Tamandua tetradactyla: one gene and its partner. The protein of the gene in region 2 purifies or fractionates together with the protein of the main gene of each other region. This does not show direct contact. Links are inferred from orthologs where the notes say so. Each region holds a gene or a part of one and is shown on either strand. Other genes may lie near its edges.

Evidence for each region.
Region 1: the proteins of PPP1R15A (region 2) and EIF2S1 purify together in Homo sapiens (affinity purification with western blotting; 4 studies listed by BioGRID and IntAct, with this or other methods). This does not show direct contact. The link is inferred for Tamandua tetradactyla from reciprocal best matches to the Homo sapiens genes PPP1R15A and EIF2S1.

Annotation. Positions count from the first base shown.
Region 1 is NC_135338.1:24,873,385-24,880,940, forward strand, and holds the start of EIF2S1 (eukaryotic translation initiation factor 2 subunit 1), read left to right. Parts: upstream 1-4,555; 5' UTR 4,556-4,725; intron 4,726-5,122; 5' UTR 5,123-5,214; exon of another isoform or gene 5,215-5,223; intron 5,224-7,556. Other genes in the region: ATP6V1D (V-type proton ATPase subunit D), read right to left, coding at 3,955-3,995. UniProt on the Homo sapiens protein: Member of the eIF2 complex that functions in the early steps of protein synthesis by forming a ternary complex with GTP and initiator tRNA. This complex binds to a 40S ribosomal subunit, followed by mRNA binding to form a 43S pre-initiation complex (43S PIC).
Region 2 is NC_135342.1:12,180,816-12,188,780, reverse strand, and holds the start of PPP1R15A (protein phosphatase 1 regulatory subunit 15A), read left to right. Parts: upstream 1-4,947; 5' UTR 4,948-5,421; coding exon 5,422-7,617; intron 7,618-7,965. Other genes in the region: PLEKHA4 (pleckstrin homology domain-containing family A member 4), read right to left, coding at 1,133-1,240, 2,260-2,343. UniProt on the Homo sapiens protein: Recruits the serine/threonine-protein phosphatase PPP1CA to prevents excessive phosphorylation of the translation initiation factor eIF-2A/EIF2S1, thereby reversing the shut-off of protein synthesis initiated by stress-inducible kinases and facilitating recovery of cells from stress.

The sequences.
Region 1 (7,556 bases), on a different chromosome or scaffold from region 2:
TTTATGTGACACCTGAGATTTAGAGTTAGAGCTCTGAAGCTATGAAAGTCAATAGTATCCCATACAGTAACTGTTTAAAAAATTGAAAAAGTGATCAGCCATCAAACAGAGATATGAATGAAGCTTATCTGCATAGGACTAAAGTATATCAGAAGACTGGGTAAAGGATGATATCATCCATATTTTAAAACTTCAACTTCTGTGTGAGACTAAAGGGAGAGATGATGTTTATTTGATGCCAAGTTTATATGTTGGGTAGTGCATTTCCTAATTTAACTTGTATGGTCAGTTTAACTGAACACAGTAAGTACATGGAATCTTGAATAGGGCATGAGATTCTGTAGGTTTGTCTAGAGTGATGCCTCAGTAAATCCCAGAAAGATTTGAACAGTGAATAAAAAGGTATTTGCAAAGTCTCCTTGTGGGAATGGTGAGAAAGGGGGAAAATTCAATTTCCCCAAGCGGAGAATTCTTGATATTCTCATAAGCAGTGGGGACAATCAAAGCAATAGGCTGAGCCCCCAATCTTGGGGTTTGTTCATGTGAAACTTAACCCTTGCAAAGGACAGGCTGAGCCTACTTAAAATTAGACCTTTCTCTTTCTCCCTCAAGAGAACCTCTTTTGTTGCTCAGATGTGGCTTCTCTCTCTCAGGCAAGATGACAAGCAAACTCACAGCCCTCCCTCTCTACATGGGACATGACTCCCAGGAGCGTGGACTTTCCTGGCAATGTGGGACAGAAATCCTAGAATGAGCTGGGACTCAGCACCAAGGGATTGAGAAAACATTCTCCGCTGAAAGGGGGAATTGAGAAATGAGACAAAATAAAGTGTCAATGGCTGAGAGATTCCAAACAGAGTTAAGAGGTTATCCTGGAGTTTATTCCTACACATTAAATAGATACCACCTTTTTAGTTAAGGCTTAACAGAGACGCTGGAGGGAACTGCCTGAAAATGTAGAGCTGTGTTCCAATAGCCATGTTTCTTGAAGATGATTATATAATGACACAGCTTTCGCAATGTGACTACATGATTGTGAAAACCTTGTGTCTGATGCTCCTTTTATCTACCTTATCAACATATGAGTAAAACATATGGAATAAAGATGAATAATAGGGGGAACAAATGTTAAAATAAATTTAGTAGATTGAAATGCTAGTGATCAATGAAAGGGAGGGGGCAAGGGGTATGGTATGCATGAATTTTTCTTTGTTTTCTTTTTATTTCTTTTTCTGAATTGATGCAAATGTTCTAAGAAATGTTCATGATGATGAATATACAACTATGTGATAAAAAAGTTCATATTGAAAAAACACAAATACTAATCATTTTATTAATCTGTAAATGACTCTACGTAACAAATGGCATATATGACTCCCGAGCAGTGGCAAATTAAACTTATACTGAAGTCTGCTAAACTCATTTTAATATTTTCCCATCAGAAACCAATACCATAGTCAAGAAAGTAACAGCAGAAATTGACATTTCTATTCTATGCTAGATATAATTTAATGATGAAATAAAAATGTTTATACAATAAAATTTAACAGCAGATTGGATGACCAAGGCACTTATAGTGATTTGTAAAAGGGGACATAATTTCATATCACTGGTGGTATTAATCAATGCAAAATAGCAATTATTATACCTTGAGGCTAAATTCTCAGATTATACTGAAATTCTTCTGCAATAGAGTTAAAGTTACTGTCACAATTTTGTAGCCGAAAGGGACTTCAAATATTATATTAAAGATCAAGAAAATGAGGCTCAGAGAAGTGGAGCACTTTCCCACAGTTACTCAGAGAAGAAAAAGCAGGGCAGGAACTTGAATCACAGATTTCTGTCTCTAGTGATCTGCCCAAGGCTCAAAGTAAGGGACAAACCTAGTACCTAACCATACGACATGCTGCCTCCCAGTAAAGATTACAAGTAGCATCAGATGATAGCTCTGTTTGAAAGAGCTATCAGTAGTTGACTTTGCACCGACTGTCCTCATCAGAAGTCTAGCCAACTAAAGCAGGTTGAGCTTCCAGCATGAGCAGGAATGTGTACATGAAACACACCGTATTGTTTACACTAAATGCCAGAATTTGGGCTCAAAGACCTGGATCAAATTTAAGTCAAACCCTAGTACTGAAGATTCCATGAAGTTCACAGTATGAAGGTGAATAGATTAAGTTCTCCACGCTGATTTTTATTTCCTCCTAGGTAACGGCATCTCTGTGACATGAACAAATTTCATTTATTGAGACTCTAAAAATGACATACACTCTTAACCCAAGGGGGCTTATAGCTAATATGTAATAATAGAACCTGGATTTGACAGACCTCTGTTGACTCCAAATCCTTCATGCCTCTTTTGCTTTTACTCTAAACTTGTTTTGATTTCTCTTGTGCATAAGTGCGCCTAAGCAACATTTAACAAAATAATTTTGTCTTATCCTTACAGTATTTGAACTGTCTGTATAACAGTAATCATCAGTATATGTTCTAGCCCAGGTCTTAAAAATTTTTTCTTTTACAAGTTTCAGAGCTACTTACCCCTACAAAAAATATTTGACCTTCAGGATGATGACTTTCTTTCCAGATGAATCAAAGACATATGATTCCATGACAAAGCACCTTTGTCAGGCCATAGGAAAATATTTAGAGAAGGAATTACTTCCTGCATCTGATTTTCCTCTCAGGCAGCAAGCTACCTACTCTCAAGTACTCTCAAACTGCAATTTTTGCTTTCACATTTTTCTCACCTCTAAATCCCAAACAAAGTAAAAGTTCCAAAATAAAAGCAAGAAATGTTAACATTCTTATCTATTTTCACATCTATTGCCCTTCTACACAATTAGTTTGCTTCTATCTAATACATACAGCTAAGAGAAAGCCAACAGGTGAAGGTAAAGAAAGCATTCATTTTATTAAGAGCTGTAGCCAACCTAGCAGAGATGGGCCTTTGAGTTTGAATATAACTGTTTAATTGTATTCTCAGATTCTATGTAGGACGACAATCAAACAATCTAATGCCAGAGGCAAATCTGATTTTCTGCCTCCTCACTGAAAAAAAGGAGAGAAGGTGGAGGACAACACAAATAAGAACATTTTTACTCTCTGCAACTCCACAATCTGTTAAGGGGATTTGAGAAAAATTTTCAAACTGGCCAAAAACCTGGGGTACAGTTCTTTCTTCTGCCAAAGAGTTCGGACCCAAAGAAATCGTATCCTACGGCTAAGCAGACTCCAAGGCAAAAATTTGTTCAAGCAACATTTTTTGTGTACTTTCTAAATGTGTAAATATTGAAGACACTTTCAACCTGGAGTGCTAACATTCTAGCGGGAGAGAAATGTATGTAAACAAATATCACTTCATCAGGCAACGGAGGTCTGAACAAGGTGTAGTGGTGATGGCGTGCCTCAGAAACACAGGATGTCTTTTCAGGGCAGGTGGAGTTTTGGAAAATGAATAGGACGATTCAAGATCTCTGACGTCCATACAAGAGTGATTCGATTCTATCGCTAATTTGGTTTACATGCCCCTTCTCCACTCCAGTAAACTTCCCTTTTCAGATAATTTACCAAATCTCATTTGTTTGTCTTCCTCACCACTAAACTGTAAGCTCTGTGAGGACAGGAATGCGAAGATTCAGTCATATAAATCCAATGCCCGTCTCAGGGCCTGGCACATAGCAATGTTTCGTGAAATGGGTGACTTTTCACAAAAGTCAGGGCGCCTGTTCCTATAACCTGAATCATTCTGTCCGATCTGTAACATTCAAGAGGACTGGGTGTGGGCGCTCTTCGGGAGCGTTCACCACAGACCACGAAGTAAGAAGCTGAGGGCAGTTCAAGAGGGACTCAAGAAACAAGGTACCTAGCTGCTGGTTCAGAATATGGAGGTACCGCATTCCGGGCAGGCGTTCCTGAACCTACGGGTGTCACGCGACACATTCTCTTACTTACATTCGCGAGGGAAAGATCTCAATTCGGTCTTTGCCCGACATTCTGACGATGACTGTACGGCTCTGGTCCCCGCCGGGCAATCGTGGCTGCAATAGTTCCAGTCCTCGCACGCCACTACCGGAGTCAGGGGGTTGGGTCACGAAACCCCTCCCGTTGCTAAGAGGCAGCGGGATATGCACTCTTCACTTCCGCTTCCTGTCGGCATAGGAGGAGGAGGGCTGGGAAGGAGGTAATGCCCGGATGTTGAAGCTCTGGCTCCGCGAACTGTCACTGGATTCCGGTTCGCCTGTAGTCCGATGGCTGCGCCTGGCGCTGCGTGCGCCGGCCTAAAGGGAAGAGAACACTCCTTGTCTTCTTCCACTTTCCGTCTTTGTCCACAGCGCCACCACGTGGTTGACGAAAACTTTGATAAAGGATTCATTCTTCAGGGACAAGGAGTCACAGTCCTACCTCTCGCGCGCGCCTTAAAGATTTCTCAGGGAACAATAAAGATAACGAGAACGAATACTATTCAAATCCTGCTGTGACCCTCATTCTTCCTAGTTCTCGGAGGACCTCGACTCTATGATCAGTGATGTAGGGCCTCTACTCTGTTAGCGCTTGCGTGGTACGAGGTGGTTCCGCATGCGCGGTGGGGTCGAGCAAAGCGCACGCTGAGGCGGATCGGTGGTTGGTGCGGATCGGTGGCTGGTGCGGGTGGAACAGGTTTCATCTACCCGGTTACAGATCGCGGCGCGGGACCCCAGTACGGAATTCGGACACATTCCTCAGGTGACTGGTGCCCCAGCTCGGTTTCTCCAAGAACTCACTTTGGTTTGTGTCCTGTGACCTGGGTGGTCGAAAGAGGGTAGGCCCCGGGCTAACACCCCCTCCCTTTCCCGTCCGTGCGCGGGAAGTATTTGGACACCGCCACCGTCCCCCGGATGTGTAGCAAGCCTCCTTGCCGGCTCGGTGTCGGTCTTTCAGATTCCAGAGGCATCACTGTACGTGCGAGGAAATCTGGTGATGACAAGTTAAACAGTACACCCTCTTCAGTGGGTTTAAAGTGAGGATGACTTAAGGTGGGGCGGCTTGGAGAGGACGCTCTGACACCTCCCAGCTCCAGGACGCTGAGTGCTTTGTTTTTTTCCGGGCCTGAGAATTCCATCCCTTTTTCCTTCCTCCCCAGTAATACTACCAAAATTTTTCCTGCCTCTTGATGAAGGCAGAAGTGTCCAGATCGAATCAGTGAGAACGGCCACCGTGTGGAAATGACCTGAGGTAACGAAGGTCCGAGAATAGTTTATTCATTTGATAATTTGTTTTTAAAAATCGAAGTTTAATTACCCTATCGCTCTAGTTGTATGTTTCTGTAGCAGGCGTTATCCCTTGAATTGAAACTAAATCCTATTACTGAGGTCTGTTACTCTTAGTGTCAGTTTACCACATTTTGGCGATGATACGACTAGAACTGTAGAATTACACACTGTGGGAATATAAAAGCATAAGATAGGAGTACTTGAGGGTTAAATACTTACTCAGCCTTACATCCCTTCAATTAACTTATGCTGTTTTAATTTTCATTTAACAGGAAACATTGTTTCTTGGAGAAAATGTGTAACAGAAATCTTGACATTTTTTCCCGACTGAATTGTTATTCAAGAAAAAAAATTGTTTTTCAGAAGTTTGGGCATTACTTATACATAACTTTGGTGCTTGTTCTCAGTTCTTTTTTTGCCAAGACACAATCGTGATTGTCAAAAGTTTTGGCTGCCTGATCCACAGTAACGTTTGCAATCTTGATGATACCTCAACTACAGCGAAAAAGTTTGTTTTGTGTAGTATTCATATACTAAAATCTAGCATTCAGAAAACACAACTGGTAAGAGCTAAATTAAAATTATCAGTGGTGTTGTTGTTATGCAGTAAGCTTTAATTTGGAAAAGATGGACTTCCTGCTTTTATTGTGGTGAGTTATGACTGGTTTAAGAAAGAACTTCTAACCTATTACATGAGCAGGCAAAATTTATTGACAATGCAGGAATCTGAAATTAGCGTATAGTTCAGTTAATACATTTTGAAAGTGGATGATGCTCTAGATTTGATGTCAGAAGACTTAGGTTTAGCTGCTGCACATCCACTTGTTAAACAGTTGTCCTTGAGAAAGTCATTTAATATTTCCATTCCTGGGTTCCCTGTTAATCGAGTGCTATACTGTGCTCCTTTCAGAACACCTTATTTTGTATTTAATTTGCTTACTAGTTTGTTTCCCACTTTATGCTTAATTCCTTAGGTAGGATCTTTTCTTGTATCAACAGTACATAGTAGATATGGTTTAATGTATTAAATTATAAAATGGAATTAAGACCTCCTTTGCCTTTTAATATCTTATGTTTTGTAGAACTTTACAGTTTTCAAGATGTTTTCGCATATATTTGATCTTGTTTAACCCTTAACAAACCTGTCAGATATGTGGCACAAACAAGAAAATTGGAGTTCAAAGAGGGTACCTTTCTCAAGCAACCACAGCTAATAGCTAGGACCCAAGCACTGGAACTCAAGGCTGTTTCCAAAGTTCACTGTACTGCTTGCCTGGCTTGAGGCTTGTTGTTGAAGACAAAATATTCTTTAATCATAGTGCCTTGAAAATGATAAAGGACTGAATGGATACCTAGTGTGGTTTCTGGTTTCCTGACTGTTAAAAAAAATTAGTGTAATTATTAGTATTTCATAAGTAGATGTATTCAAATCTCTCAATTAAAATGTAGTTTCTTTATGAAGTTAATTATTTCTTACTAGCTACTTTTTTCTTTAATGTTAATAACATACAGAAATCATCCTTTTAGCCCAGGTATTACAAAGGATCTTACTTCCTAAAGAAGTATCACTCATCGCTCCCTTCAGGATTCTTTCACAATATTGCCTGTGTTCTTTAGCCATAAACTTAAGCCTTGCTTCCCCAAAATTACCAACTTTGATATTTGAAGAAAGTTGATGGGTAAATGTGGTTAACACCTGTTAAATCTTTTAGAACTGTCATGCATTTCCATTACATTTATTTTGACATACAATTTGAAACTTTTTGGCTCTCAAATTTGAGCACTTTATTTATAGACGTCTGTCTGACAGCAATTGTTCGTCCTCTGCCTCTCTCCCAAAAAACACCCTGTTTAAAAACAAAACAACTAGCTCAGCTGTATCTTGGTGGATAATTCTGGCCATTGACTGTCTAGTTTCTGTCATTTGCTAGATCCCTTTTGTAGGCTGCTACAAAAGAAATACATCTCTGCCACTGTTACTTATATGCTGCTTTTTTGGCTGTTGTTAAACAGGATAGGTTAGTACTAATAGTGTGCACCAATCTGTGGTATATGTTTCAGAGTCACATATGTATGTTAGTTGCTTTTTGTTTAAGTTAGATGTTTCTAATTGTAATCTTTTTGTTGATAATACTGAAAAGAATAGCTGGGTGGATAAGGGCAGATTCTGGATCGAAACTGGGTTCAAATTTTGGCCCTATCAGTCAACAGTAGTATGAAGGGACAAGTTGCTTAAACTGTACTTCAGTTTCTTCATCTATAAAATACGGAAAACTAGGGGGGGAGTGGTACCTTGGAGAGATA
Region 2 (7,965 bases):
GGAATAAAACCCACATTCCGTCCCCTGCCTTACGGGGCCCGAGAGCAGTGGATCTCCCACCAGAGCTTGCCTGAGGCACCCCAGGAGGCTCCTTCAAACTCAGGTTCCCGGGCCTCACCCCCCAGAGGGGCTGATTCCATAAATCTAGGGTGGGCCCGAGAGCTTGTATTTCTAGCAAGTTCAGGGTGATAGTGAGGCTGCCGGTCTGGGCACCCCACTTTGAAAACCCGTTGCCCCTCCTACCTCTCTCCTCCCTGCCTTTGCCTGCTGTGTGAGGCCTTTAACTTTCTAATTCCCTCTGCTCCCAGATCTTAGGGCAGCGAGCTCCTTGTCATTTGGTTCTCAGCTCAAATGTCAGCACCTCCGACTGGACTTCCCTGGCCAGCGGTCAGTTGTACCCCCATCCCCCAGGCTTTGATCACAGCCCCGCCCTGTGACTTCTTCACAGCCCTTACTACAGGTGGAAATTATCATGTCTATTTATTCATTTTCTAACTTACTAGCCATCCTTGCCTCACCACCATCCTGAAAATAACAGAAATTTGTCTTATTTGGGTGGTGTGTCCCCTGGTCCCGGGCACATTGTAAGTGCTCAGGAAATAGTGAAGGAATGAACTACAGACTGTAAGCTTTATATCAATGTTCGAGTCCTTGAACTTGATAACGGCACTTAAAGTGGTTCCATAAAGGATAGCCTTCTTAGGAAATGTACGTGGCAATGTTAAGTGTTGAGGGTACATGATGTATACAACTTATTCTCAAGTGTTTAGAAAATAGATAGAAAGACATATACAGATGGATGGGATGACAGAGCAATTATAAGAAATGTGGCAAAATGTTAAAGTTGGTAAATCTCGAGAGGAGATAAAGGAGTATATCGGAGTTCAAATAGGTTTTTGTAACTGTCCTGTAAGCTTGAAATTATTTCAAAATAACAAGTCTTTTTTTTTAATTAGTCATTGAATAAATGAATGACAGAATAAGGGGGAAGGCAGTGACAGCAACAAAAGAAATATATTTTGGTGCTTGGAAGGAAAGAAACAGGGAACCATTTGTGGCACAGGCTGGAGACGGTCCAAGGGAACTTCCCCTTCCCCTGCTGACCCCCCACGCCCTCCCCACGCCCCTGCACCTGCTTATGAAGCCAGCCTCGGATGTGCACGGGGAGGTTGGGGTCCCTTCTCAGTGCATTGCCCCTCTTCCCAAAGGCGTGGACCTTGCTGACTGCCCGGGTGGGCTTCTGAGGACGGAAGGGGGATACAAGTGAGCAGGGCCCTGGCTGGACTCTTGAGAAACCAGGTCTTGAAACCAGAGTTGGATGTAGGTAAGGCAGGGTTGAGAAGCAAGGAAGAGGCTCCTGGCCACTGGGGAAGCAATTTGGGAGAGGATGCCCTTGGCCACCAAAACCAGAGATATAGTGGAGCCATTGGATCCCAACTGGAAATGGTGGCTGGGAGGTCCCCTTCATCAAGAGGAATGTCCCCATTCTGAGGCCCTGGGGATGGAGCTGCCTGGATCAAATGACACAGTTTCACAAGGCTCCCCAAGCCTCGGTGCTGGACAGTGATATTCCTTAGCGGCCGTGTCCAGGCTTGAGGGGGACTCCAGACCCCCCACCTCATGCTCAGAAGGGGCTGCTTATCCAGATTGCCACAAGGACACCCTTCTGGGAAATTGTGCCATAGACCAAATCTCTAGACTTTGAACTTGGAAACTGGAAACACATCAGGGGAACGGCAGGAGACCGAGGAAATGAGTGTTGTTGCTGAACCTCTGGCTGGGGTGACAATTTGGATGCCAGGCTCTCGGGCCTGCTGGGATTTTATGGCCAGGGAGGGATTCTTTCCTAACTGGGTAGATCCAAGGGCTACAAACAGGACAGGGAGTCCTCACCTTGGTCAAGAGTAGCCACCGATTCTGAGCTCCTGATGGGGGGGGGTCTCCTCCTTGCTGGGGAGTGGCTTTATCTTAGCAAGCAGGGCCAAGCAGGGTTGTTACTCTGGCTTAGAATTAGGAAACTATGAAGGGGTGGGGACAGAGGTGGGAGTGCCTCTGAATTCCTAGCCACAGCTGGTCAGCAATTTGGGACCATACCAGCCTGGCAGACCCTGCTGCTAAGTATCCTTTGTCCGCTGCAGTCAAGACTAGGAGTCTGGGATGGTGCAGAATCCCGGGCCAGGGAACAGGAGGAGGGGCATGCGGAGGAGATGATCCCAGAGCCCCACCCTCCTCCCCATCCCCGCCAGGAAGCTCTCGAACCTTGGTGCTCAGGTTGCTGAGCGAGGAGATGGTGGATGCACTGCTGGCGAGGCTGAGGCTGCTCCGAGGCCGGCCCTCCTCCATCGAGGGCTTGCCGAGAGAAAGAAAGGGACTGTGTCTCTGCAGCTGACCCGGCTGGGGACAGAGCCGGGAGTCAGGGGCCCGGAGGTCGGAGGAGGCTGAGGAGAAAGAGTCTGTTGTCTGGGGACCAGGGTGGGGGGGTGGGAGGCAGGGAGGGGAGGTCCTGGCTTGGGGAGCACATACCAAGAGCAAGGCCAAGAGAGGTGGGCGGCATTGGCAGCTGCTGGGGAGGGGGCAGCTGTTTGCAGCCAAGACAGAAAATAGGGGCTCCTTTCTTATTGCCCCCTTCCCTCCAGCCAGGAATTTGACCCTCTCTGGGTTTAGGAACTCCCACTGCCTTTCTAGCCACCCCAGGCTGCCTGTCTCCTGCCCTCCAGGTTCACCCCCAAACCATCTCTGCCAACACCCCAAGCCAAGCCCTGAGGCACAGCCCGGACAGCCCCTCCCAACCCAGCCAGGGAACTTACCCAGCTCTGGAGTTCTAACGACAGGGGGCAAGAGGGCAGTGTGGGTTCTGGGGTGCCCAAGAGGCTGGCTCTCTAGACACAGTCTCCCCACTCCTCTCTCTCTCTCTCTCTCTCTCTCTCTCTCTCTCTCTCTCTCTCTCTCTCTCTCTCTCCTCACCTGTTCACTCACCCTCTCTTTTTGTCTGTCTCTTAGAATCTCTCTCTCCCTCTCTTCCTCTTCCTCTCTCTCTTTCTTTTAAACTGTCTCTCTCTTCAGTCTCACCTACTCTCTCTCTCTCTCCCCAATCTCTGGCGCATCCAGTCTCTCCCTCACTCATTCTCTCCTCCCTGTATCACATTCCCTCCCAATCTTTTTGTTTCTCTCCCAATCTTTTTGTCTCCGATTCAGGGAGTCTCTTCAGTCACTCTCTTCCTGAAGTCTCTGTTTCGCTCTTTCTCTCCATGTGTGTCTTGCTGGGTCTCTCCCTCCTTCCCTCTTAGTCTCTTCCTCTTTCTTTTCTCTCTCTCAGTGACCCTCCACGTCTGCTGTTTCCACGCTCTCTGCAGATTCTCCTTCTCACTTTCTCTCTCCCTTCCTCTCCCAGTTTCTCTTTCCTCTCTGCTGGTCTCCCTTTCTCTCCCTCCCTCTGCCAGCCGCCCACGCCCGCTATCTTCCCTCCCAATCCCGGCTGTCCCCGCCCCTTCTGGCTTCCTCAGCCTGACCCCTGGCTCAGCTGTCCCCATGGCTGAGGGGAGGGGCTGTGGGCCCTGACTCCTGGGTCCCCTAAGGGCTGAGGGGGCTCTGAAATGTTTGGAGAGTAGGAGCTGGGGCCTGGACTCAGGGTCCCAGTGGGCCACCTGCAGTCAGGGGCCTGGGCCACTGGCGCCCTGAAAGGAGGGGCTTGCATCTTGCAGGGGGTAAGGAGCCTGGACTCCTAGAGCCTAGGAGGTATTGGACCCCTGGGTGCCCGAGAGAGTGCAGGTTAGGACTCAGGGTGTCTGGTTGTGAATAGAACCTCAGTCTGCAAGTGTGGCTTTGAGTGGATGGAGCTGGGGGCAGTTTGTCCAGGTGCCCCCCGGGGAGGAGGGGTTGGCCCGGACTCCTGGATTCTGCATCTAAGTGATCAAACCTGCATCTCAGATGCAGATGAGAATTCTGTCCTGGGTCGTGGGCGACACCCATCACCTTGGGTGTGACAGGTTTCGGACCAGGCAGGGGAACAGGCCTGGGGCACTGGAACTTATGGCAGAAGCCCCATCCCCCCACCCCCACCCCCACCCCCACCCCGAGGTTCAGCTGCTGCTATCGGGCCAGATGATTCCAGCTTTCAGGAGCAGAGCTTTGCCATAAATTTGAAGTGAGTGAAATCCTGAAGTGGAGCCTCCTGCGGGTCTATCTACTTTATTTGCAGAGCACCTACTATGTGCCAGCACTGCTGGGGCCACTGAGAAAAAAGTGGCGAGCAAGCCAAAATGCTTGTCTTCTTGCTGCTCCCACGGTTCTCATTTGGAATAAATCTGGATTCTACTTGTGACTTCATTCCCAAGCCTCAGTTTCCTCGTCTGTGCAATGGGAACGGGGATACCCGCTCACAGCCGGGAGGAAGCGGGCCGCCTATGGCGGTGGGAGACTGCAGACTGGTTAAACTGGGGTGGGATTGCGTCCGTCTGGAAAATCGGGAGCAGAGGTTGAGCTATAGAGCGCGCCGTTTACGCCTTTGATTGACAGCTCGCGTGGTTGGGGGCGTGGCCACGCTCGGAAATGCCGCGGTGACGTCACGAAGCTCGGGAGTCTCCGCAGGGTTCAGTTCTATTTTTGCCCTTTCCAACTCCCCGTCTTTACGTGTAGAAACCCCGCCTCCGCGCGTGACGTCAGCACGTCCGGCCGCGAAAACATATAAAGGCCTTGCGGCTGGGGCCATCAAAGGTTACCAGCCGAGTTGTTGATTTCATGCGCCATATCGTCCGACCCCGCGAGCCTCGTCGCCATTGCAGCTGCGGCAGCCGGAGATCCTTTGAACCCCGAGTCCGACGCCTCTGAGGGCGAAATGAAAGCGTCGGCTTCCCGAGCCGCCTGGACCTGCGATCGCTTCTGGCAGCCCGAGCCGGCGCTCCTGCCTCCTGGGTGATTCGCTGCCGGTGCGTGAGGGGTCGCAACGCCGGAGTCCCCAGGCAGCTGGGGACCCGGACTTAGGAAAAGAGGGAGGGTTGGGAGTCTGGGGTCCTGGACCTGAGTCGGCGGGGAGAACTTGGAGGTGAAGGAACCATCTGGGGGTCCGTGTTTGAGTCTCTGAGGAAGGAGGGCGGTGGTGGTTTGTCACCTTTTAAGAGAAGGCGAGGACTAGGGACTGGGGCTTTGTCCTCAGGGGAAGCAAGGGAAGGACCCTTTTCCTTGGCTCTGGGTCGGAAGGAAGAGGGGACGGAGTGGAGAAGGGGCTTGGACTCCTGGGTCTAAGGAACGAGAGAAACGGACAGCCAGACTCGTGGGGATGACGTGAGGAGAGAGAAGGGACCTAAGGGACATGGGAGTGGCCAGAATCACAAAGGAATTTATGGCAGGAATTCTTATGTTGCTAGTTGTTGTTACTGTTTCCGTGGCTGTGACTCACCCTCATGCCCTAATTCCATCCCCTAAATGGCTCCTAAACTTTATTCTGTTTTCTTTTCCCCCTCTTTTTTCCAGCCCAAAGGGATGGCTCCAAACCAAACAGCACGTCAGGCCATCCCCTGGAGGGATACTCACCCCTTCTTCTTCCTGTCCCCGTTGATGGGCCTCCTCAGCCGGGCCTGGAGTTGCCTGAGGGGCCCTGGGTCCCCAGAGCCCTGGCTGGTGGAAGCAGCAACAGGAGCTGACCAGGTGGAATCTGGCCTGGAGGGAAAAGCTAAGGCTTCTCTGGCCACCCACCTTGCCCCCTGGGACAGGCACCCTCAGGAGAAGACCGAAGATAGTGGTGCAGCTGAGGAGGCTGGAAAAGCAGACTGGAAGACCTGTCCTGGCCCACAAGCCACCAGTTCTCTTCTTGAAGCCTGGGGTTTTTCTGATGATGTTGAGGAAGAGTATAGCAAGGAAGAAGCAACCGATGTTGCCAGAAAGCAGAGAAGTACACTTGCCGAAGGTGGGCCTGCTCCCCCATCCCCCACGTTTCTGATGGGAACCCTGCAGTATCCTCCTGGGGAGGAGGACTCTGAGGAAGAGGAGGAAGTAGCTGAAGAAAAAGAAATAAGCAAGGCCTTTCTCTGTTCTCCATCACTAGACCCTACACCCTGGGAGTATTGTCTAGGGGTGGTGAAAAAGGAGGATGAGGATGGAAAAGCTATGAAGAAAGAAACTGCTGGGACCTCTACATCCCTCTTATCTTCGGCCTCCAAGCCCAGTGCTTGGGTATGTTGTCTACAGGAGGTAAAGAAGGAAGAAAAAGTTGAAAAGGATCAAGGCACTGAGGCAGGAAGAACAGAGAATAAAGAAGCTACAGAAACTTCCATTTCCTGTTCCTCTTCAAAGTCTAACTCCAGGGCCAGGGAGTATTGTTCAAGACAGGAATCTAAGGAGGAGAAGGATGAAAAGGTAAATGAAGCAGCTGAGAAAGAAGCTGCCAAGCCAGAGATGCACTCCTCTATGCCCATGCAGCGGTCCCTGCTAAGGGTGTGGGAGTATCAACCCAGTAGGAACACAGAGGAAGAAGATGGGAAGGATGAGTACAGTGCTTCAGGGGCAGCTAAGGCAGAGGGAACAGCTGAGGCTTCCTCTTGCAGCCCACCTACAAGTGTCTTCCTGAGGGCCTGGGTGTATCACCCAGAGGAGGACACAGAGGAGGAAGAAGAGGATGAAGACAGTGCTTCAAGGGCAGCTAAGGAAGAGGGAGCAGCTGAGGCTTCCTCTGACATCCCACCCACGAGTACCTTCCTAAAGGCCTGGGTGTATCACCCAGGAGAGGACACAGAGGAGGAAGAAGAGGATGAAGACAGTGCTTCAAGGGCAGCTGAGGAAGAGGGAGCAGCTGAGGCTTCCTCTGACATCCCACCCACGAGTACCTTCCTAAAGGCCTGGGTGTATCACCCAGGAGAGGACACAAAGGAGGAAGAAGATGAAGGAGAAGATGAAGATGAAGGAGAGGATGAGGACAGTGTTTCAGTATCAGATGAGGAAGAAGTAGTAGCTGAGGAAGAGGGAGCAGCTGAAGCTTCCTCTGATATCCCACCCATGAGTGCCTTCCTGAAGGCCTGGGTATATCACCCAGGAGAGGACACAGAGGAGGAAGATGAGGACAGTGATTCAGAAACAGCTGAGGAAGAGGGAGCAGCCAAGACTTCCCCTTCCAACCCATCCACAAGTGCCTTACTGAAGGCCTGGGTGTACCACCCAGGAGAAGACACAGAGGAGGAAGATGAGGGCAGTGATTCAGGAGCAGCTGAGGAAGAGGGAGCAGCTCAGGCTTCTTCCATCCCACCCAAGGGTGTCTTCCTGAGGTCCTGGGTGTATCACCCAGGAGAGGACACAGAGGAGGAGAATGAAGATAAAGGCGATGATTCAGAAGCAGCTGAGGGAAGAGAACAATCTGACTCAGAGCCGTGTCCCTCCTTTCAAGCCCAGACTACCTTCTTAAAGACCTGGATATGTCAACCTGGAGAGGACACTGAAGGAGAAGGAGCTGCTGAGGAATGGGGAGAGACTGAGCCCCACCCCTTCCAAGTGGCCATCTATTTGCCTGGAGAAAAGCCACCACCTCCCTGGGCTCCTCCTAGGCTGCCCCTCCGACTACAAAGGCGGCTCAAGTCCTCAGAACCCCCCATCCGAGATCCAGACCCTGAGAGTCCTCTAAAGGCCAGAAAGGTGGGTGCTAGGGGCCCAGGTTCTTGAGTCTTAGTTAAGAGGGGGCAGGGAGCTGAAACTCCTGGGTCTGGGGGGAAGAGAGGCTGTTGGCTGGGACTCCTGGGCCCCAAGTGTGTTGCATGCGGTTGCATGTGAACTCTGTCGGGAGGACTGTGTGAGCCCTAATGCAATCCTTTGCAAGAGGCTGGGCCCCTGAGGTACCTGTGGGAGGAGGCAGCAGCTGTGGCTCATGACAGCCCCAGGAAACCACCCCTGTCTTCCGTTGATTCAGATGGGAAATCCCATGGCAGGCGCGTTGCTAGCCTGATAGCAAGCTTCATTCCATAACTGGTTTTCTTCTTTCTCTGT